Oreochromis niloticus: one gene and its partners. The main gene of each other region encodes a partner of the protein of the gene in region 3 in a complex. Links are inferred from orthologs where the notes say so. Each region holds a gene or a part of one and is shown on either strand. Other genes may lie near its edges.

Region 1 (7,326 bases), on a different chromosome or scaffold from region 3:
CTCCTGGTCCAAAGTTTGGGGGACTTTTTTGCCACTGCTTTAGCTGGTATGGAAGGTGCTTGTAAAAGGGTGCTGGCACTGAAGCTCCTCCCCTCTCTGACTACTGCTGTTTGCTGTGTTGTGGCGAATAAGAAGCTGTTTGTGGGCAGCTTGAGGGCACTGACAGAGGGGTGGGACTCACCCAGGCTTTGCTGCTGCTTAGCTTCTGTGAATAGAAACCAAAATATGAACAGAGAACCCTGCTTGTATATATAAAGTGTAAAAATTTCAACAGTTAAATTTTACATTCAGGTTATGTGCTGTGATATCTCAGGACTAGGGGAAATAACTTGCTGTAATCAAACCAGACTATTCTACTTTGACGCTTTTTTAAGAGCTCAGTGAGCTGTTTAAGTACAGCCAGTTTTTTCAATAGATTAAAATCATATTGAGAAAACTGGCTGATTGAAAGCAAAAAACATGAGAATTTGATGTATAGGTGGCAGTACTCCTAACACACCTTCATACTGTCTCGCTAGGTCTTTCACCAGCATGGAGAGGTAACAGTGGCTGGCTGAGTGGAGAGCTTTCACCCAGCTCTCTTGACCCTGGCGATCTACTGCTGCAAATCTGTAGGTTTTGAGTCCAGGCCCAAACACCAGGGAGAAGGTAAAATGTCCATCGGTCTCCGAGTGCTGAACAGCACACCCTTCCAGCACAATGACACCCAGCAGGTGTCTGTCAGCTGGGCGCTCCTGGTAAAAAAGCAAGTTTGCCTTCAGGACAAACCACCGCCGGTGATAGGTGTCATTTCGGTTTTTCTATGGGGACATTTGAGATAAATAAAGTCAAACAAAAAGATTGTATTTGCACATGAAAAGTGATTTCACATTGTTTATGATGTATATCATCTCAAACCTTTTTGTTGAGATATCCCTCTTTATCCACTGGAGATGTGCACGAGAGGTAATGGGTTAAAATCTTCTCATGAAGCTTCATCACAACAACTGAAAAAGAGAGAGCGCTGATAATAATAATAATGATAATACATTTTATTTAAAAATAGCGCCTTTCAAAGCACCCAAGGACATTGTACAATGAATAAAAACACAAAAACTGGAAATATACACAGAAATAAGAATAACAGATAAAAGTTACAGAGGTTTAGACATAAGCAATTTTAAACAGATGAGTTTTGAGAGTGGACTTAAAAAGAGAGAATGAACTAATATTTCTGAGGTCAGGGGGTAAGGAATTCCAAAGCCGAGGGGCAGAGCAACTAAAAGCCCTGCCCCCCATTGTAATCAGACGAGCGGAAGGAACAGAGAGAGAAAGAGAAGATGAAGATCTGAGGCACCGGGATGGGAGGTTCATCTGTACTAAATCAGAGAGGTATGGTGGAGAGAGAGAATGAATAGCCTTAAATGTATAAAGGATTATTTTAAAATGGATGCGAAATTTAACCGGGAGCCAGTGAAGCTGCTTCAGGATTGGGGAGATGTGGTGGGTAGAAGAAGTCCTAGTAATAATACAGGCAGCAGAGTTCTGGACACGTTGAAGCTTGTTAATAGATTTTTGTGTGAGACCAAATAATAATGAATTACAGTAATCAATCCGAGAGATGACAAGATTATGGATGAGAATGGCAGTGGCATGAGGAGTGAGGAAAGGGCGGATGCGATTAATGTTACGGAGTTGAAAATATGCTGCACGTGTAACATTATTGATATGTGAATTAAAGGATAGTGTGCTATCGAGAATGACACCCAAGCTTTTCACAGAGGGAGAGATAGGGACCAACGAGTTATTGATAGTGAGAGAGAAATCGTTAATTCTGGATAATAATCGTTTAGTGCCGACCAGGAGAAGTTCTGATTTATTGCTGTTGATTCGGATGATATTTATACCAAAATCTGCACTAGATGTAACAAACACATGACAGAAGAGTGACACGGCAAAATATGCATGGCCCTTAAATTACTGTACTTGTTTTATGTGTGTCAAAGCAAGGATTTTAAAGCACTAAATGGATTTGTTGGTATGATACAAAACATCCATGAAACTTAAAAAGTAAAGGCAGGTGTTCAAGAAAAGAAATGTAAATTAAAATAAAAATGAAAAAATACTTGATGAAAATTATGAAAAGTATGTGTACTAATAAAACTAACATCAGTTTTCATCATTGTCAGGCTAGTTACATTTATTAACATGACCTGCCTGATTTTACACAAGGCTTTAATTTTTCTACATGACTGTGAGTCGACCGCATCCACAAAGTGTTGTGGATGTAGCAACATTTTGAAACAACAGAAAAAGCTAAAAAACGGACTCAAAACTAAATAAATAATTTGAAAAAATTAAGCAATGATATTTCAGGTCATCAGAGTCAAGCTTACTCTGTGTTCCTCATTACAGTGAAACCAAGCAAGACAGATTTTATCTTCTGTTTCTAGTGAAACAGTCTGCTAATATTAAAAGTGTACAGATTATTTAACTTTAATGGGTTTGTGTACCTTTAACTTTTTGCTTTTGATTTTAATGTCTTTTAAATGTGATTTGAATGAATTTTAAGCCATTTAAGCCACGCTAAATAATCTCGCCATGTCATGTCACAGAGGAACCAAAAAACTGCAATACTTGCATATATAGCAGTAAAAACTACATCCAACACAGTAAATTTATTACTGCTGTAGTGCTGTGTTCATACTGCTATTTTAACCATTATGAGCTTTTTCTATAAGTAAGTTACAGTCACGATGAAAACAGGTGTATAGCTGTGCAGCTAAATTGTATCTACCATAATCCGACAGTTTTGTCTAGTAACTATAAACAACAGTGACATAATAGAAAACGGTGACTCAGACTTACCCCTGCCAATGATAAATCGCTCACAGGGTCAGTTTGCCCTCTCGCGTGGACTTTACCTTAATTACATTCGCACATATTTTCTTTTGATTCTTGTCATTCCTGATCGTGAAGCCGATTGTTCTCCTCCAGATCCAGACAATGTTTGAATGTATAGTTTCAGGTTACTACCACCGGTTCTCCCTCATGAACAAGAGGACGAGCGTTGAAATATAAATAACTCGACCCACTTCCTGGTAACAAAACCCTGGTAACATTATATTCTCTCGCCTCTGCGCTTGAGTCTGCTTTGAGCTGATGGGTCATACACCGGCAGTTGAAACCAACCTTCCTGACAAGAAGTGCTACCTGGAAGTGAGATGCTTAGCCCTCTCACTTCTGCATTTTGTGTTACTTGATCTAAACTTAATATCAGTTAAGTTTAGATCAAGTCTCTCATTGTATGTGTAGCAAATGTCCCTTGATTCTTGAGCTTTCTTCAGAAAAAGTTAATATTTATCCATATATTTAAAAGCAGAAAAACATTAAATGACCTCCTGAAAATGTGGCTCGTCATTTCTTTGCTTGTGTCTATTTTTGACATCCACTTATCCTTTTTATCCTTATGGCCCTCAGAGAATTTAGAATCTAAAAGGCTCCAACATGTAAAGACATCCAAGGCCTTATACACTGAGGAGCCCTTTCTTGGTATATGTCTTATATACTTTGGATATTCATCGCTGCCTACTGTATTTTTGTCAGTGCCACCATCTTCACATCATGGCATCTCTCACTACCACCTTGTAAATCTTTCTTGCTGCTTTTTTTTTTCTGTTACTCATCAGCCCTCACACTTGTATCCACCAACACTCCCCTGCCTGCACTCTCTTTTTCACCTCTTTAGAGCGTTGTTGTTTAGTTTGGATGGTTGATCTACTTTCACTACCTCTAGCATTTGCAGCTTCACTGTTACACCCGCCTCTGATTCACACACATGTATTCTGTCTTGCTTCTACTGACTTTCACTATTCTCCCATCTCATGCATTTTCTTCCTTCATCACCACCTCTAAGTCTAAGAACTTTCTCTTTACTCATTAGTACTTTTCTATCTCTATCTTTAACAACTAAATCCTATCCAGCTCGACCTCTCTGCCTAACCAATCGTTACAAGTTCTTTTCTCCTTTCTTAGTGTCCAGCCTCACACACAACTCACTATATACGTCTGTAATACACGTATTTCTGAAATATACAATCCAATTTCCCCAAAGTTGATTCTGTTCATCTAGCTTTATCAGTGGATGATTCAGTGATTCAGTGAACAGAATCAATTTTGGGGGATTTTTACTTACCTGGATGATTGAGCATGCATCGAGACAATACAATACAATTCATACTCCTCGTCAGCTGGTGGCGGTAGTGCGCCTTATCATTGTTTGTTAACGACAAAGTGAAAACATGAAAAGAAGAAACTGAGTCGAAAACGAACGTCGTTTGAATAATTTTCGGTAGGTTTTTACATCATTTTACAGCAAAACATTACTTTAATAGATTCCTTTTCATATTTCACCTATTGCGTGCAAATATTATACTCAGTAAGTGTTATTTCACCTCTACAAAGGCGTTTTGAGATGTAGTATTTGTTTTGCATGTGGTTTGTAGCTCATGTTTTTGGCTAACATGTTAGCCACAGAGCTAACCCGAGTTGCATGTTCACGGCTAATTATTACAGCGTTACAGGGTTACGCGCCTTAAAAGTTTAATAAAACTGCGCAAGTAACATCACAGCTCACCTTCAGTTGTCGCACAGGAATAAAACAGTCACTGTTTTTCCTCCTGTAGCACCATGTCGAAAAGAAAAGTAACATTTGAGGATGGCAACGGTGAGTTTGACCTCGAAGACGATGTCCCGAATAAAAAGGTAATGCTGTCTTCTTTACACGGTTATTTAAAAAGTATAGACTGCTGTGGTGGCAGAGGTTAGCAATAATTATTTTGTAGTGCAATTAGATTCTTACTAGTTGTTTACAGCCAAGCATCACACACGTACTTTCGATATCTCCAATGTTAAAATGGCACAATAATGCGCAAGTATAAGTCAGTTACCGAAATTTAGTATTTGTCATTGTCATGGATACAGTTGTGTATATAGTCAATAATAATAGAAAGATTGTGGCTGATGCTGACACATACTTTCGTAGAGTGAAACAATCTGATGTCATCATATTGGCCTGTATTCATCTATTATGTATTTAGTGTATTGAAAAACGCAAATGTGTGGTCATTGTTTAGCAATGTAACAGCTTTTGATGTAACAAACTAGTTAGCAACATGTTCTAAAGAGACAGCTTAACGCCACATAAGCATCTGTACCAGAGATGCTCAAAGCAAATGCAAAGCTGCAGATGTTTACGTACAGTCAGGGCATGCATCTCATGCTAAATTTGGGCTTTTAACGACTTTTTTTGAGGTGTTCTTTCCCAGAATGGAATTATTGTACAGCATATATCATTGAGACTTTAAAAAACAAAAAAATAATTTGGAATTTGTCTAATCCATGCAGGGTCATAAGTGTACATGGCTGGCAGTTTGAAGTGTCACTCAGTCTGTGACTTATAGTGCACATCTGTATTCAACGTCTGCTGGACTGTCTCTTTATTAATTTAATCCTTCTCCAGTTCACACATACTTTTAAGCCCAGTCTGAATACTTTGAAGGGATTTATTCATAAAATGAATAAAACAAACTGTGATTTAAAAAGCAGCCAAAAGTACTTGGTGATGGCAGTTTCAGAGAAAGGCATAAACACTTCACAGTGTGATAGCAGTTTGGCAGGGTATTATCTGTCAAGCCCCATGGTGTGAGCACACATTTATATATCAGTCATTTATAGTTCATAGTCATCCTAAAAACACAGATGCATTGTATAAGCAAATAACTCTAGTAAAGACTATACTTGGTGGCCTAAGAATTAAATTTGATCACAGCAGAAGCAGCATTAACTGAGAGAGTTTTTCGTGTACTTTGGCACTGTTAATAAAATGTTAGAGCCTTTTTATCCTTTTTTTTTCTTTATGATCATTTTTGAGACGAAACCATTAAAAGCAAACTACTCTGTGTGTGTGTGTGTGTGTGTGTGTGTGTGTGTCTGTTTTGTTTATTTTTCAAGAACAAGTTGATGAAATAAGAGTAGTCAATATATCTTTATTTTTTTTAATTTTATGTCATTTCAGTTCACTTGGTGAAATATTTGTGTTATTTTTCTTTTTCTTCTACTCTTAAAATAGAGTTGTGAAGCTGTCAGCGGACCAGGCTCCAGGTTTAAGGGTAAACATTCCCTCGACAGCGATGAAGAGGATGAAGGAGAAGACACAAACAGCAGCAAATATAATATTTTAGACAGTGATGATGTTGAGGGTATGTTGATTATTTAAGCTGTATCTGTAACTCTTAAGTGGTCTTGGTTACTCTTCACATGTTTATTTCCCCCACACTGAGTCAAATTTAGAGCGATTTCTTTAAAGGGACAGTTTGTTTTCTTAGAATTGGGATTTTATGAGATATTATGATCCCTTTTATTTCCCCCTGGAATGTTTTGCATATAGTAGAGGTAGTGCCACTTTGGAAAAGTAATTGCTGAAGGGGATAACATATCTTAGGTCTGTTAAGTTGACAAACATTTTTGGCCAAATGAGTTTTGGTTGACTGGTGATTTCAGTGTGTCTTTGTCAGCTGAACAGATACAGAGACACATCATACAGCCTCATGTTATCTGAGCAAATTTTTGGAGGATTCACTAGAGCATTGCCTTGTTTTACTTGGCCTTCATGCATTGGTCGTAGTGTCTTTTTAGTTAGTTGTGTTGCTTTAAAGTGCAGACACACAGCACTCTTTGTATATAACTTCTACTTTGTTAACAATAGTTGCTAAACCCAAAGCATTTCGAAACACCAAATGATGAGTCACTCTGAGGGACAAGCGCTTCACCTTCTGCAGTGCCAGACAGTTTATTTGGCACTGCATGTCTTTTTCCATAGTGTTAGTCATCCAGACTACATCTAGAAAATTTCAGTTTGTGTGGTACATTCACACATGTGGTTAGGTACTCAAGGTTTTAACTGTTGGAGCATGTATTCTGAATATCACATGATTGTACTCATTTAATTGTGGGAATCCAAAGTCCTGATCAAGATTATACAGGGTGGGCCATTTATATGCATGCACAATAATAAAATGGGAATGGTTGGTGATATTAAAGTCCTGTTTGTGGCACATTAGTATATGTGAGGGGGCAAACTCCTCAAGATGGGTGGTGACCATGGTGGCCATTTAGAAGTCGGCCATCTTGGATACAACTTTTGTTTTTTCAATAGGAAGAGGGCCATGTGACACATCAAACTTATTGGTAATGTCACAAGAAAAACAATGGTGTGCTTGGTTTCAACGTAACTTTATTCTTTCATGAGTTATTTACAAGTTTCTCTTTGTTCACAGCCATTGACAT
Region 2 (7,919 bases), on a different chromosome or scaffold from region 3:
GAAGTCGGTCTGCCTCAGGTCCTGCATCAAGTAAAAGCCTGTATGCACCTGGGGAGCTCGTGTCTAAGTTGACAGTAATGGAAACAAAGTCCTCTTTGATTTGTGATTCTGTCAGTCAACAAGTTAAATCTTTATTCAGTGTCTTCTTCACTGGGTGCACTCATAAATCAGGCCAGCTGACATTAAACATGCTACTGTGTCTTACATCGGTGCCTCAAGCTTAAACTGGGTCCTGTTCTCATGGTAACCATCTCTTCAGACCAAGCAGTTTTTCACACCAGCTGTCCAGAACTGCAGCCTGAATAATCTACTGTGCAATGTGCACACTAATGCACAGCCACATTTTCAAATGCAACATAATCATGTCTTAAAAGCACAACATGAAAAAACACTAAGTAAATACGCTTCTTCTTCAGGTACTTTATTCAAAACTATTCTGACATTCAAGATCATTTTTAGGCAAGAATAGTAACAAAATGCTTCAGTTCACATTTCCACACAAAAATACATCAACTGAATGAATACTGTCAGTTCCTGAACTCTTCTTTGGACAGTATCTAAAACATAACATGGATCACTAAACTCCAGTTACCAATGCATCTGACTGCATTAACTTTTTAAGATTTTGGTGTTTCTGAATTTCTTGTTTTGGCCGGATCATTTTTATTAATACTGTGAATCTCAACTATTGTTCGGTATATATTGGGGAAATCAACTTACTTACTCCACCTACTATTAATGGCATTTCTCACTCCAAACTCAACATTTTTGATTGATGAGGAATTATAATATACAATATATATATTTATAAATATAAAAAAAGGCTTTCAGCATATGTTTCACCCTCTGTAACTGTCTGAAAGCATCTGATTCTTCCATTTCTACCGCAGTAGTCTGTACATTATGAAATGTGACAGACTAGTAAAAGCCACATTTCTTACTTTGATCTGAGCCACGCTGCTTCGAATCTTTCTCAGTGCTGAATGATGTTCATCCTCATCACTGCTGCTGGTGCTGTCTGAACTGCTTGAGGATGGGCTCCTGGAGGGCCTGCGGCCCACAGGACTTGGCTGTGGGGACCGTCGCTCATTGGGGCTTCTTTCAACTGAGCCAGCCTGCTGGGGTCTGCCTGATGCTGGACTAGAGTCATTCTCTGAAGGTCCTGCAGAGAGAAAAATAGATCAAGAGCAGTATTAGTATATCCATTCAACATATCCTTCTTCTTCCACTTACTCAATTTAGGGATACTGTGGGGCAGAAGGCAGGGTAGACATCGAACAGGTCACCAGTCTCTCACAGGGCTAACCGGAGACTTATGCTTTGGACTATGACTATTCAATAGCTACGCCATAACCGCAAACTTTGCGAAACTTGTTAACCCATATGCCTGGTGGCCACGTAGGTGAAGGACAGTCAAACAACTAAACAAATAAAATGGACACCAGCTAACCACAAAAACGCTGTTTCTGTTACCATTCATACCGTGCACCCTACAGTGCAACCTAATTACATGTTGCACCAATAGATTCTTCTCATGCATTTCAGGCTACTTTTTCACAGCAGTTTTTGAATTTATCAGTGAGAGAATAACAATCATCATCTCAACATAACAGATAATAATTATAGCATCAATATAAGGACTCACAAATGTCAGCAAATTCCTGAGGAGAAACTGCCAAAACTATTAAAATGGACGTGTGGGAATGTACAAAGAAGATGAAAAACTTGAGACAAATATATTTGCCTTTAAAAAAAACTGACCACTACAAAACTGGAGGGAAAAGGTCCGTGCATTTTATTTGTTTCTATCAACTGGTACTGAATGAAAAACATGTACACAGACCCACACATTAATTTAGACATAATGCACCAGCACAAACACAACACGTAAATTATGTCGTTAGCTCTACAAAGATTCACCGCAGAAATCTAAATCAGGACTAACAGGTGAAAGCACACCAGAGTTCCCAGCAAGGGGTACAAAGAAAATATGCAGAAAGACCCGGCTGCTGGACTCAAACCCAGAACCTTCTTGCTGTGAGGTGACAGCTAACGATTGCAACATCGTATTGCTCAAGTATAACGGATGGAGATTAAAGCAACTCTTATTACAAGAACATTAAGTGTAGGGTTCACAGCAGCATTTACTCACCACTGTTTTCTCTCTGTGCAGGACTGGGACTTCGACTTCTGTCTGCAGAGTCCATACCTGGAAGGGGGGGGGGGGAAGACAACTAAGACATTCACTTTGATAGGTAAAATGCATTTCCACAAACCCCGTTACATTAGGAAAAAAGAAAAAAAAAAAACATGTAAATGAGTTAATAAGATTTAATAACTTTCTGACATGGTTCTCTGACACGATCCACGTATTTCTACGAAGGACTGTTTACAGACTTGTTGATTTGACATTAGTCTGCTCCGGATAAACTTTACATTAAATCACCAATACTCAATGCAGAGCAAAGGATACACTTACTGTTTATTAAGCGTTTTGTGAGTGATTAACGATAAAATAAGAGGGATGATGACTTCCTGGTAATGTTTAATCGCCGAACAGAGTCAAAAATTATCATTGCCAACGGACGGAAGAGGTAACAATATGGTAACTGGGCATTTCCTGAGGTAAATATTACCAAATGATCAAGTTTGTACGTCTTAATAGCCGAATAAACATATTTTGGGAAGGTTCTTGAAACAGCAACACCACGCGTTACTAAAACGTCTTTTCAAATCAACTCCTCAGTTTTATCGCCATGTGTGTTAAGCTGAGCTAAAGTTAGCTTGTGTGCTAATGCTGTCTCGGCTATTGCGATCTAAGCTTCTCGCTACTAATTGCTGTCACTAAAACCTTTAAGATTTTATTTCCTTCGTACTTTGACAGAAGGTCTGTCGAGCTAAATTGCTTTGTTTGGGTTTTAATGTCCTTACCATACAATTTCCCGGCTTTCCTTAAATCACTGTCGTTCGTCTGGCGGAAAACTTCCTATAATAACCAACATTACTTCCGGGTGACAGATCGCTTCCGGATTTCACAATAAACGCAGTTTGTGAAGTTTGGTTTACTGTTTTTGTTGTTATTTTTTCTTTTCCAGTTTAACTTTATTTCAGAATTTAATATTTATAAATAAAGTTGTAACACAAGAAAAAAAGTGTATAAAATAAAGTAAAACAAACACACAGGGCCTTGTGTACACATGAAATTTGTTCATTTATTGTTTCATTCTGGGTTTTTTTTATTTTCAAGGTCCTCAGTTGTGGTTTAAAAGGGAATATTGAGCTTCAAAACAAAGCTTTATTTATCTAAATAAATCTAAATATCTAAATAAATAAATAAATCTTAGTTTATTTACTTAATCACTCAAAGTTTAGAGTTGCATATGTGAAAATTTTCACTTAGCATCCTGAAGTTTTTACTTACTTCTGAGTGCCTTGAAGTTTTGGGATGCTGAGCAAGTGGGAATTTTCAAAATTTCCAGATACCATACACAAAATTTATTTGACTAATCAACCCAAAGGTTTGACTTTATATTTTAAAAACACTTTTTTTTTTTTTTAAATTTGTTTTTACATGAATACCTTATTTGTTAAATCTTTGAACATAGAGAGGCACAGAAAGACTTTCAGCTGTATGGGAGGACACATTAAATCACTGTTTAGTTTTTTAGAACAGTTATGGAAGAACATTCAGGAAAAATAATGTTGTCATATGGTTTACTATATCATAATACCAAGTGTGTAGTAATGTGAAGTTCTGTGAGTAAGCCCCATTTCCATTAGTAATACTTCTTTTTTTGTGTGTGTAGGTTTAAAGGTAGGAAAAGCACTGGCCAGTTATACTGAGAGCTTGAAAACAAGACAACTGTAAACAGTTGACTTTTTTCTTAGAATTCTGGAAAAGAAGAAAAAAAAAAAAGACCTGCGCACTTTTTTTCCCAGTGGCCCTAATCCTCTTCCGTACAATCCCATTAGCTTATTTTTAAAATATTTGAAGGAAGTTTATATTCCCCAGCACTGCAGGCCTTCAGACATCAAAACGATTTGAGCCTAAACGGAGGGATTAATAACACATAAAATACAACCCTGTTGGTGTATCCATCACTCCATTGCATACAGAGATGAAAGAGGCAAAAACATATAGTTTCTGCGTTATTTATAGCAGTGTGCTCGGGTTTAAAAGGCCCCCGACAATGACGTAGTCTTCACGGTACTTCAGCATCTAGCTAGCACTACTAAAGAGGAGCATAAAAGGAAGAACGTGTTGCGGCAGGTCAGTTCAAACGCAAAATTTCTAAAAGCTCAACACACAAACACACACTTGCTAATGGTAAAACTGGGAGAAAAGAGAAAAGAATAAGAGTTAAGTTCACTCAGAGATGGAGAACAATGTAAGGAAGAGAGGACAGGAAGAATACCAAAAGGCAAGTACTGCTCAGGGGTATTTGATAAACTGGAAATTTTAAATTTTGTTGTATTTATCCGCGACACCTTAAAGGCCGGTCCGTGAAAATATTGTCGGGCATAAACCGGTCCGTGGCGCAAAAAAGGTTGGGGACCGCTGCCTTGGACCACTGTGAGACATCAGACGTGTGCACTGTGGTCACGCCAGCATCTAATCCATCCAAGTTACATGGTTTATTAAAATAATCAAATTACAGCATTTACATTTATGTTAGACTACTTTTAATTAACTGCTTTAGCCCACTTACAATGAAAATTTAAAAAATCTTGTTCATGACCTGTGTAGTATGTTAACACTATTGGAAGTAAAAATAACTTGAACTCCAATTTTGAAAACACAACTTTCTTTCTTTTCTTTTTTTTCATAAAGCTCTGACTTGTATTATGAGTCTGTGGTCTGGGAGAGAGTCCTATAACTCTCTGTCTGCAAAATACAGTATATAATGACCAATGTTGGGCAATTAATTATATAGTTACTACTTCAAAAAAGTAACTCGGTTTGGCAAACAACAAAGTTTTTTGCAGCTATTTATTTTTTTTAATGCAGCCAAGGCGTTTTTTTAAATAAACATTTCAAACTATTTACAGAACAATCAGCTGTTCTGCATCAAATCTGATGCCACACAAATTATTTGCGCCACTCCAAAAAATAATTTCTGTCCAATATGAGATAAAGGAGAACAACAGCCTGATACCTGCAGGCCTGACAACAGGAGCTGTATCACTGCTGTAACACCTGTAACATTCAGCAGTCGCCTCATTGTTCTGACACACACAACAAAACTATTGACTACACTACACACTGACTACACACTAACTACACAAGATTTGCGCTAAACGTCTCAAATCTCTCACATCTCAGAACACCGCCGTCACTCCTAAAACTCCCCCCGTTTCTTAACAACTAGATGCCACGTTGGCAAATCATTTTTTGATTGGTCGACATGGTACATTTTTTGACCAATAGGAAAGGGTGGGGGGTTTTTTGGTTTTGTTTTTGCTCACAGGCGGAGAGTGCTTTCGAGCGTTTTCCTTATAAAACGCCGTTTTTACCATTTCTTCCCGCAGTAAATATAAACAACGATAGTATTCAGGAAGAAAACCAAACATTGCAGATATTTTTATCATAACTCTGGTTTTACGTGGCCTATCAACACAATTTAAAAACTGGTATAAAGTCCGTCAATTGTTCCGTCTGTCCTGCTCACATCTCCAATGGTTGTACACGTTGTCATTAATGTGGCTTCTCTGCACATCAGCCACGCCGCTTTGCTAGCTAAAACACCGGTGTCGGCACATAAGGACGCTGTCATAGCCTGTCAACAACGTTGATTGGCTGCGTATATACGAATGTGAATCGCATTATTGGCTGGACTATAGGATAAGGTGGCATCGTTCTAATCCCATACAGGAGCAGCCAGTCACTTACTGACTAACACTGCAAAACAGAATTGTTAAAGTTTTAATTTTAATTTCAATTCAGGTTAGATTTTTTTTGTGCGCAACGCAGATTTTCTGTGCGCAGAGACCGTGCCAGCAGTGCGCAATTGCGCACGTGCGCAGCTTAGAGGGAACATTGGTTTCCACACCACTGGAGTCGTTTTACCTCTCTTTTCAACCAACGGCATTCTTTCTTCAGCAGCCATTATCCTCTCCTCTCCAAATAACTTCTGCTTAGCTTTCCGAGCTTCCCTCGGGTCCTCTTAATTGTTGTGACGCGTGTTCGAAACGCAGAGAGGTGCGCTCGATTTGCCACACGGAGCAGCGCGAGAGTAAAGCACGAGGGAGGTGCTAATAATCGGCTCAGTCATTTTTAATGATCGTTGAAAACCCAGATCGTAATCGAGATTAAAATTCGATTAACTGAGCAGCCCTAATGCTTCTTTTCTTCCTGCTGTTTTTATACAACCATATAAACTGGCGACACAACAGAAGCTCGATTCCAGATGTGCTTATAGCGATGGTGGTATAGTGGTAAGCATAGCTGCCTTCCAAGCAGTTGACCCGGGTTCGATTCCCGGCCATCGCAGCTTCGTTTTGTGACAGAGCAGTTAGGGAGGAAAAGAAACCTATTTTATATCAGAAAGAAGATGATATATAGTATTCAATAAATGGGTATTTAAAGTAAAAACAATTTATTGTAAAAAGATTTTATTGATTTTCTTTTACTTTACTAGAAGTTGAATCAGTACTTTTTAAACAAAACTATTTGTACTTCTACTTAAGTAAATCCTCTCAATATCACCATATGCTGTGTTTCCTCCTTTGAGAAGCTCTGCTCAGCCTTTACTGGAGTCTCCTCCAATTGTTTCTTATTTGTGGGTCTTTATGCATTTAGTTTTGTATTTAATAACTAAATAGCACACTCTGCTGGGCTGAGATCAGGTGACTGACTTGACCATTGAAGAATAAGGTGGAAAAAGGGTGTTTCACAAAGTGTGCAGAAACCTGATGATCTGTGAGTAATACTTCTTACTGGCCAGTAATATTGAGAGCTTAAAAAGAAGGCAATTTGACTTCTTTAGATATTTTCAGGATGTTTCACTTATCATCCAAGAGGCTTTGTCATTCATAGAACAACTGGTGCAGAGTCCCAGGTGACATGCACCACTAGGGAGGGCTGTTCCCTTGGAGAAGTCATAACCCACAAAGATGGTCGATCATAGTGGACATACATGGCCTCATTTACTGTTCTCTTAAACCAATTGTCTTTGTCCAAAATGTGAACACTGGCATCCTGGGAAGCGTGTCCTTTCTTAGGTATTGCAGGTGTGCCACTGAGTCTTGTCCTCCCGTGTTGCATTTGTGGACTGGCTTGCAGCATCCACTGTTTAAGTCTCTTCACATTTAAGTGACATACAGCTCACATGATGGTGGGGTGGGGCAAGGTCTCACAGAGGTTTCAGTTGTCGGCCAGGTGATGGGAATGACTCATGTTTTCACACCTTTGCTCATGTGACAACTCACATGATCAATAGTAGGTTAACATCCCTAGGAAGTACATCAATTTTTATACACAGCACCCATTTTCAGTCTCAAATTAAACAGACTAACATCATTTTAGATGATGTTATGTTTAGGAATCCTTTGCAGTCAATGACTACTTGAAGTCAAGAACCCTTGGACATCAGAGGTGGGAAGTAACGAAATACAAATACTTAGTTACTGTACTTAAGTAGAATTTTCAGGTACCTACACTTTGAGTTTTTATTTTTCTGATAACTTATAACTTTTACTCCTTAAATTTTAACATGGATATCTGTACTTTTTACTCCTTTCATTTTCAAAGCAGGCCTGTTACCTTATGTTTAACATATTTGAGGGAAGTTTAAATTCCCCAGCACTGCAGGCCTGAAGACATCAAAGCGATTTGAGCCTAAACGCCTGGTCGCAGCTTGTACACAAAGAAAATCTCCCGAAGCTCACAATAGAAATGATTGTGAGTAGTGATTCTTTTT
Region 3 (7,810 bases):
TCTTGCATAGGGTATCAAAAGCCATAATTTTAGATTTTACAATAACCGAACACCTAGCAGTAATTCCATGGCACACCCATTGTTTAAATCTACTATCGTGGGAAGCAGGTAAAAAATCAGGGTCATACGCTGGCCACCTCAGAAGTTTTATCTCTTCCTGTAGTTGTGCCTGCTTGACCACTCCCCTCCATATTTTTAATGTAAAAGTGACCCATTGGCTGGGCGTCAAGGTACCGTCCAATTCAGAAGCTGTGTGACCAAGTCTAGACTGGATTGGCGTGTCCGAAAGAGACATCTCAATCGCCTTCCACCTCGCACAAAAAGATGGATTACACCAACACACCAAAGACCTCAGCTGAGCAGATAAGTAGTAATCCCTTAATGAAGGTAGAGCCAAGCCCCCTTTTTCTTTCGGCAACTGCAAAGTAGAGAACTTCACCCTTGGTCTTTTGTTAAGCCAAATGAATCTCGAAATCTGTTTATTCCATTCCCTGAACTGCTTCTCTGGAATTTGAATAGGTAAAGCAAGGAAAAGATAGAGTAGTTTGGGAAGAATACTCATTTTAATTATCTGTATCCTGTTGCCAAGGTCAAGAGGGAGCAAGGCCCAAATGTTGAGATCGCTATATATTTCTCTATTAATACGACTGTAATTAATATCATACAGTTGTGTTAGATCTTTAGGCAGAAACACTCCTAAATATTTGATAGCAGTTGCCTTCCAATTAAACTTGAATTTTGACAATAATGTCTGGTCTGGAGAAAAATTAAATGTCAGAACTTGAGTTTTTTTGACATTAAGAACATACCCTGAATACAGGCCATATGTTTCCAACATCCCCATTAATACTGGTATACCTGAGCTGGGATCCGTGATTGTTACCAAGACATCATCTGCGTATAAACACACCTTGTACTCGTCCCCTCCTATTACAATCCCTTTCAACGATGTTTCCTGACGTATAGCCTGGGCTAGAGGTTCGATAAACAAGTTGAAGAGGTAAGGGCTTGCTGGACACCCCTGTCTACATCCTCGTTCTAAAAAAATAGTATCGGAGAGGCTACCGTTATCAATTCTTTCTTGATTCCTGATCAGTTTTCTTTGTGGGAACAAAAGCCGGGATGCAAAGGCAGCTGTTGGTATAGAAACGCGTCCTGGCAGGTGACCTGGGAGGGTAGAAGCACTGGAGAAAGAACTGATACATCTGGAGGCAGACGATTAAAGGTTTGAATATCTTGTTTATAAATATTCAGGTAACTTATCCGGTTTAATCATACTGGACATTTTTAGCTTGTATTTATAATTTATTATAAAATCAGATATGGACTGTGAAAGTGGGTCAAAGTGTTGTTTTTTTTTTATAATAGTCTCAAAAACAAATGTCAAGGTCATATTTAATGCAATGCCGGTGTTTTAATGCGAATAAAGACGATCTGCAAAGATCATCTGCCTCCATCTCACTCCATCCCAAGCATCCTCCTCTGTCACACCAACCCTCTGCATGACATCCTTCACTACATCAGTGAATCTTCTCTGAGGTCTTCCTTATTTCCTCCATCTTCAACATCCTTTGTTCATTGTGTCCACTATCCCTCCTCTGCACATGTCCAAACCATCTCAGCTCCCTCTCTAACCACTCAATCTGCAATGTCCCTCTGATGCAACCATCTTTAATATTGTCCATTCTGGTCCTTCCCAATGTAAATCTGAGCGTTTTCAATTTCTCAGTGCCATCATCTACCATCCAAACCATACATACAGCAGGTCTCATTGCCATCTTCCCTTTTCCTCCTGCTGCTGTTCTTCCACAATCCATCGACTCCATCCTGGCTGCACTCTCTTCTTCCCCTCTCTAATGCTTTGCGTTGCTTTGGATGTTTGATTCCATTTATGTAAACTCATATACCTTCACTGTTACACCTCCCATCAGACTGGAATTTGATGTGTCTCCCTCTCATTCACACACGTGTTCTGTTTTGTGTCTTCTGACTTTCATTCCTCTTCTCTCCACCACATACTTCCACCTCACCAGGCTGTCTTCGCCCTGCTCCCTCCTCTCACTACAGATCGGCTGCAGACATCATAGTCTACTGAGACTCCTGCCTGGCCTCATCTTTCAGCCTGTCCATCAAGACTGCAAACGAGAAAGGGGTTCAGAGCCGAACTCTGACATAATCCTAGCCCCATCTTGAATAGTCGAAATGTCAGAGTTAAGTGATTTAACAGCCAAAGGAATAAAAGACTTTAAGTATCTATTTGTTCTACACTGACATATAAAGTAGGGGTTACCTGGGAGTAACTTCCTGAATTCAGAATAGAAATGGTGGTCAAGATAGTTAATAATGTCTTTTACTTTCTTTATCACCCGAGTTTCTCAGTGTGAACACAAATCTCTTTGCCTGACCCCCATTATTTTGGAGCTGGTGTTATCAATGGTGCTGAGAGGGTTTCTATCCTTAAAAGATAAAACATTAAACCAGAATACAAAAGAACATGTTTTGTGATCACTTTAAAAACTCTTTTTAAACAACAATAGTTTACCCAAATCCAGCTGGGTGTAGGAGACATTGTAAAAAGCATCAAAGTGAGCGCTAATGCTGTGCTAATTTTATTTTCATGTTTATCTGTCTCGCTGGCAGCCCAGATAATGAATCTAAAATCACCACAAAGGGAAAATGTGACTTTTTTCCAAGCGGCTTTATATATAATTAATCATAAAGCGTACACAGTATAGTGTGGTTACTTGTTCTAAATGTTTGAGTCTACTTCAGTAGCCACCCCTCTCGGTTGTAGTAACAGCTACCCTCCGTACCGTGGCCACGAGTTGCTGAGACTGCGCCGCCGCTATCAGCTCCGTCCGGGGCCGCTTCACGGCGGAAGGAACCACCGCCATGTCTGCCGCTCTCTTCATAGGCTCAATCATCTTTACAGGACAAAAATCCGCAAAAATCTAAAGCTTTAATGCTACAATTTACAAAAAATGAATGGACGTCTTTCATACGAGACGTCGGAGGAAGTAGCACCAACGTATCAACACAGAAGAAGTACTTCCTGTGAGTGCGAGGAATACTATTGGTCGAGGTTTGCAAAGGCTAAGATGATTGGCTGATTGTGAGCAGCAGATTAGCCGCTTCGCTTGTTGTTGAAACGTTTTGAACCGGATGTAAAATAACCATCGTATCAATCCGAAAGGTAACGCTGATATCATTTTTAAATTATTTTCTCTTAAATTATTGCTGCATGACGTTATGTTTATTTATTTGTATAAACTAGAACGTTAAGCAGGCGCGGGCCTATTTTCTTGTTCATATTTTATTTATTCAATATCTGTTTATTCATTTATTATAGCTCTTTAGTGTGGCTAACATTAGCCGAGGAGCTGCTGTTCCATTCAGTTTTTGTGTTTGAGATAAAAAGTGAGTCTAATAGGTTTTTATTGCTATCCAAGAGATTCAACACAGCTGTGAAGCTCATAAAAATCACTTTCAGGTACAAAAATATGACACGGCTGAATAGCAAGTCAGCATGCGAGTTTAAAGTGGGGGTAAAATAATCAGTGCACATAATAAAATCTCTTTTTAGATTTAGCCTTTGAATACTGTTAGGGTCAAATGAACTGTGTTGACATTTGACTTCAGTAAAAAAAAATATGTCTTTGTTTTAGCATGAAATTTCATGACTTTTCCTAAAGTGACCCAAAATACACGAAAATGAAAATGTTTAAAAATTCATAGTGTTGTACAATGAGGCTGTTCTAGGTCGTATCTATTCAGATGGATTTTAGATCCACCAGTGTGGTTTAAATAACAGAAAATGTTGGTTTTAGGGAATTTTAAAATGGTACATTCCATTCATGGAATAATAAATCGGCATAGAAGTATTCATATATTGAGGTCATACAGAGGTCAGAGGGTGCCTTGGCACAGACACAAGATCTGAAATAGGATGCCATCATCATGGGGTAGTGAGAACCGTTGCCTTTACACCAGGAAAGAACCTGGCAGTGGCCTTTTGGTGTCAAGTTTCCTCTAGGTACTTGGGCTTCTGGCCACACTCCAAAGACATACATGTTATGTGATTCTAAATTGGCTGTGGTTGTGAGGTGAATAAAGTGCTTAAAAGTGCTGCATGAATGTATAGTTAAAGCGTGCTTGTAGTTTAAAGTGGTCATAAAGACTAGAAAACTGATGTATAAATTCAAATACAATGCAAAAGTACCCGCCATGTAAGAATGTGACCTACAAATAAACAAATTAGAATTTGTTTGCAGGTCAGCTGAGACTGAAGAAGTCACTTGGATGAGTGACGAAACGTTTCTCCCACAAAACGCTACGTCCAGATGAACAGATTCAACTTTTGGAAAATTAGAATTAGTTTATTCTGAGCGAACAGAGTTTAAACTCACTAAGATTAAAACAGAGATCATAAATGCACCTGATCTGCCATTTCAGGGATTGTGGGAATCCAAGTGCAAGATTCAGTTATTGGTAACCGTGGCTGTTTTGAGACGATGTCCGACCGTGACCGCCGAACATCAGAGCCGGCTGGGCTGGATGGTTTGCCACCACTGTACAGCATTGCCAAAGGAGAGGTGGTTTCAGTGCAAACTTATGGAGCATTTGTCCGACTGCCAGGATACAGGAAGGAAGGTCAGTGAAAACATTTGATTATTCAGATGAAAAATAGGTTAAAGGAGAAAGAAAAAAAAAAAAGTGTTGTTTTGTCTGGAGATCTCTGCTGGGGATTTCTTCCCACTGGTGCCAAATGCTTGCTCTTAATGTGTCATTTGATTATTGGGGTTTCTGTCTATTATTGTAGCGTCTTTACTTCACAATACAAAGTACCTTGAGGTGACTGCTGGTATGATTTGGTGCTATATAAATAAAATTGAATTGAATTGAATTGAATTGAATTAGTGTACTGTCTCACTGTGAGTAAGAAGACAAGGCCGGAAGACTTCAAAGACACAGGTCAAAGTAAGACATTTCACATTGTTGTTATGTTTAAATCTTTTTTTTTCTTTTTGGTTTATTAGTACAATCATAGTTTCTTCTATTATAATTCATTTGTGTTATCTTCATAGCAACAGAAATTGAAGATGTGTGTGTACAGACAGGAGGTGTGGGAGGATGGGTTTGGGCGGGGTTGATAAGAAGTGGGACACGTTGATGAAGTGGGATGACTCGTATCTATATTTACACTTGGGTTACCTCTTTGATAATGAAGTATGATTTATTGTGGCTTGGCCTTGACCTACATGTCCAGTTAAACAGCAGCTGTTCATTTTCACCACTGGAGGGCGAACTGAACAACTTGTGCTCACACTTTAATAACCTGTAGCCTAAAAAAATGTTTTGGACAGAACTTGTTTGCTTCATTTAAATTACACTCCCTTTGAAGTGAGTCAGTTAAAGTGGTTTGAAGTAGATGTAATGATTAAGCCACAGTTATATGATTTAGTTGGTCAAATGTTTTTGAAGCTTGATAACAGCCGGAAATAAGTTTGATTCTTAATTTAGTATTTGGGTTTTCATTTGTCATCCAACACGTATTCATGTGTCAACCTTTTCTGTAGGTCATTAATGCTGACCATAAAGTGCTGTACAAAAGTCTTGAGGCACTCCTTATTTCTTTATATTTTGCTGGGAAAGAGAAAAATGGGTGCAGTGATTTATTCAAACCTGTGCAAACATGAATGGAAATACAGAGTTTGTATTCTAATGAGCTCAAAAGTTAATATTTGTTATAACCACGTTTATATTTCAAAACAGCCTTAACTCTCTTACCTAACTTTCTTGTAATTTCTTTAGGTAGTCTTCAGGAATAGTTCTCCAGGCTTTTTGAAGGACATTCAAAGTCCTTCTTTGGATGTTGGCTGCTGTTTGTTCCATTCTCTGTAAAGATGATCCCACACTGTTTCAATAATGCTGAAATCTGAGCTCATGGGAGGCTAATCCATGACTGATGGTGTTGCATTATAAGTTTTCCTATCTAGGTGTGCTTTTGCTGCATTGGTATCATGTTTTACAGATGGCTGTAGACACTCTTGTACTTCTCTCATGACCTCCTCTGTACATACTGACAACGATATGAGCAAAAAAAAATAATAATAATTTTGGATTCATAACTCAATAAGACCTGTTGCAACTGATTTTCAATCCACTTCTTGTGTAATGTGGCATTTGGCCTTCAGAAAGGGCTGAAGAACTGTTGCTCTTGACCGTTTTAAAAATTACGAAAGAAAGTCTGGTTCCAAATATAAAGACATGAGGGTTTGCTTAAGACTTTTGAAACTATAAATGTATTTTAGGTGATATCTAAGTAAATGAGCTTTGTCCTTTGTTTTCACAGGTCTGGTACATGTGAGTGAGATGTCAGCTTCCCGGGTTGAGAGCGCTTCAGAAATTGTGGATGTGGGAGAACATGTGTGGATTAAAGTCATAGGGAGAGAGGTAACAATATCACACGTTTTGGACAACATTCATTAAATGAAGGTATTCTTCAGCTTCAAACCCCAGAAAGGCTACATTAAAAGCCCGTCTTTACCCTTAAACATGAAAGGGTGTCAGAAACTGCCACTCCAGTGGTCTCAAATACAACCTGGTTCTCATAAAGATAGTCACAGAAGTACACACACTGAGCAGAAAGTTTACAGCTTCTTCCTCTGCTCATTAGATTCAGGGTGACAAGGTGAAGCTGTCTTTCTCCATGAAAGCCGTCAATCAGGGAACAGGGCGGGACTTGGACCCCAACAATGTTATGGCAGAGTAAGTGCTTACGGATTCATTTTGTGTGTTTTCATGTGTCTGCACAGGTGTGTGTGTGTTGTTAACGTCTCTGTGTGTGTTTATAGGCAGGATTCAAGGCGGCGTAAGCAGTTTAGAGACCAAACCAGCAACAGGATCACGCTGGAGGCTGTGCTCAACACAACGTGTTCAAAGTGCGGCTGCAAGGGTGAGGTGACATCATGAGTAGTGTGATGTGTCAAAGAGACTGTGCTTGTTTCACACAGATGGCTGATTTGCTTGAATTCACACCGCGGTTCTTAAATAAATTATTACTCTCTTCAGGTCACTTTACAAAGGACTGTTTCTCTGCTCCTGGCCTGCAGTACGCTCTCTTGCCTGAAGAGGACGATAAAGAGCCAGAGCAGCAACCATCTACAGCTGCACAAAATCAAGATTCAGACAAAAAGAAGAAAAAGAAGGTGACGATGTGACCTTTAAAGCCCTGCACAGCTCTCGCTTCCTTTTCCGCTCTAACTTTCCTTTGCTGATTCTCTCTTTCTCTTTCATCTGATGCAACAACCCCCACATGTCTCTCTGCATGACATGCTGTTGTGACCACATTGGAAGTCTGTTGCCTGGAAAAATGATTTTGTGCTGATTTAAGAGGAACATACTTCAGTGTTTGGGTTTTTAGGTATTGAAACTGCTTTTTTGTGCAACTTCTTTGTTTTTAACGCTTATTCTCCAGGAAAAGAAAGCAAAGAAGAAGAGTAAGAAGAGGGAGAGGAAGGAGTCTGAGAGCGACAGCAGCAGCAGCAGTGAATGTAAATCCAAGAGGAGGCGACAAGAACATGAGCGTGACAGAGACGACAAGAAGAAGAAGAGACACAAAAAGCACAAATCGCACAAACACAGCTGAGACACACACAGGGGGAAAGTGGTTGGCAGCAGACTGAGAGAAAGACTTCCAGCTTTAATATCTAAACCTTCATTCACTATCTGTCAAGTTCAAAACTTGAAGGGAAGCGCTGTAAATATAAACATGTGATAACCTCCACTTGTCCTGAAGTTATCCCCTCCA

Evidence for each region.
Region 1: snrnp40 (region 3) and cd2bp2 share a complex: the UniProt entries of both Homo sapiens proteins name them as parts of the U5 snRNP complex. The link is inferred for Oreochromis niloticus from reciprocal best matches to the Homo sapiens genes SNRNP40 and CD2BP2.
Region 2: snrnp40 (region 3) and cwc22 share a complex: the UniProt entries of both Homo sapiens proteins name them as parts of the minor spliceosome. The link is inferred for Oreochromis niloticus from reciprocal best matches to the Homo sapiens genes SNRNP40 and CWC22.

Annotation. Positions count from the first base shown.
Region 1 is NC_031969.2:29,120,826-29,128,151, forward strand, and holds the start of cd2bp2 (CD2 antigen cytoplasmic tail-binding protein 2), read left to right. Parts: upstream 1-4,301; 5' UTR 4,302-4,417; intron 4,418-4,615; exon of another isoform or gene 4,616-4,664; 5' UTR 4,665-4,668; coding exon 4,669-4,743; intron 4,744-6,109; coding exon 6,110-6,239; intron 6,240-7,326. Other genes in the region: pheta2 (sesquipedalian-1), read right to left, coding at 1-205, 500-800, 898-978. UniProt on the Homo sapiens protein: Involved in pre-mRNA splicing as component of the U5 snRNP complex that is involved in spliceosome assembly.
Region 2 is NC_031987.2:24,052,861-24,060,779, reverse strand, and holds the start of cwc22 (pre-mRNA-splicing factor CWC22 homolog), read right to left. Parts: upstream 3,026-7,919; 5' UTR 2,932-3,025; intron 2,210-2,931; 5' UTR 2,208-2,209; coding exon 2,153-2,207; intron 1,163-2,152; coding exon 942-1,162; intron 1-941. UniProt on the Homo sapiens protein: Required for pre-mRNA splicing as component of the spliceosome. As a component of the minor spliceosome, involved in the splicing of U12-type introns in pre-mRNAs. Promotes exon-junction complex (EJC) assembly.
Region 3 is NC_031985.2:22,356,330-22,364,139, reverse strand, and holds the start of snrnp40 (U5 small nuclear ribonucleoprotein 40 kDa protein), read right to left. Parts: upstream 3,046-7,810; 5' UTR 2,925-3,045; coding exon 2,814-2,924; intron 1-2,813. Other genes in the region: zcchc17 (zinc finger CCHC domain-containing protein 17), read left to right, coding at 4,512-4,650, 6,353-6,453, 6,677-6,768, 6,855-6,955, 7,072-7,208, 7,478-7,648. UniProt on the Homo sapiens protein: Required for pre-mRNA splicing as component of the activated spliceosome. Component of the U5 small nuclear ribonucleoprotein (snRNP) complex and the U4/U6-U5 tri-snRNP complex, building blocks of the spliceosome.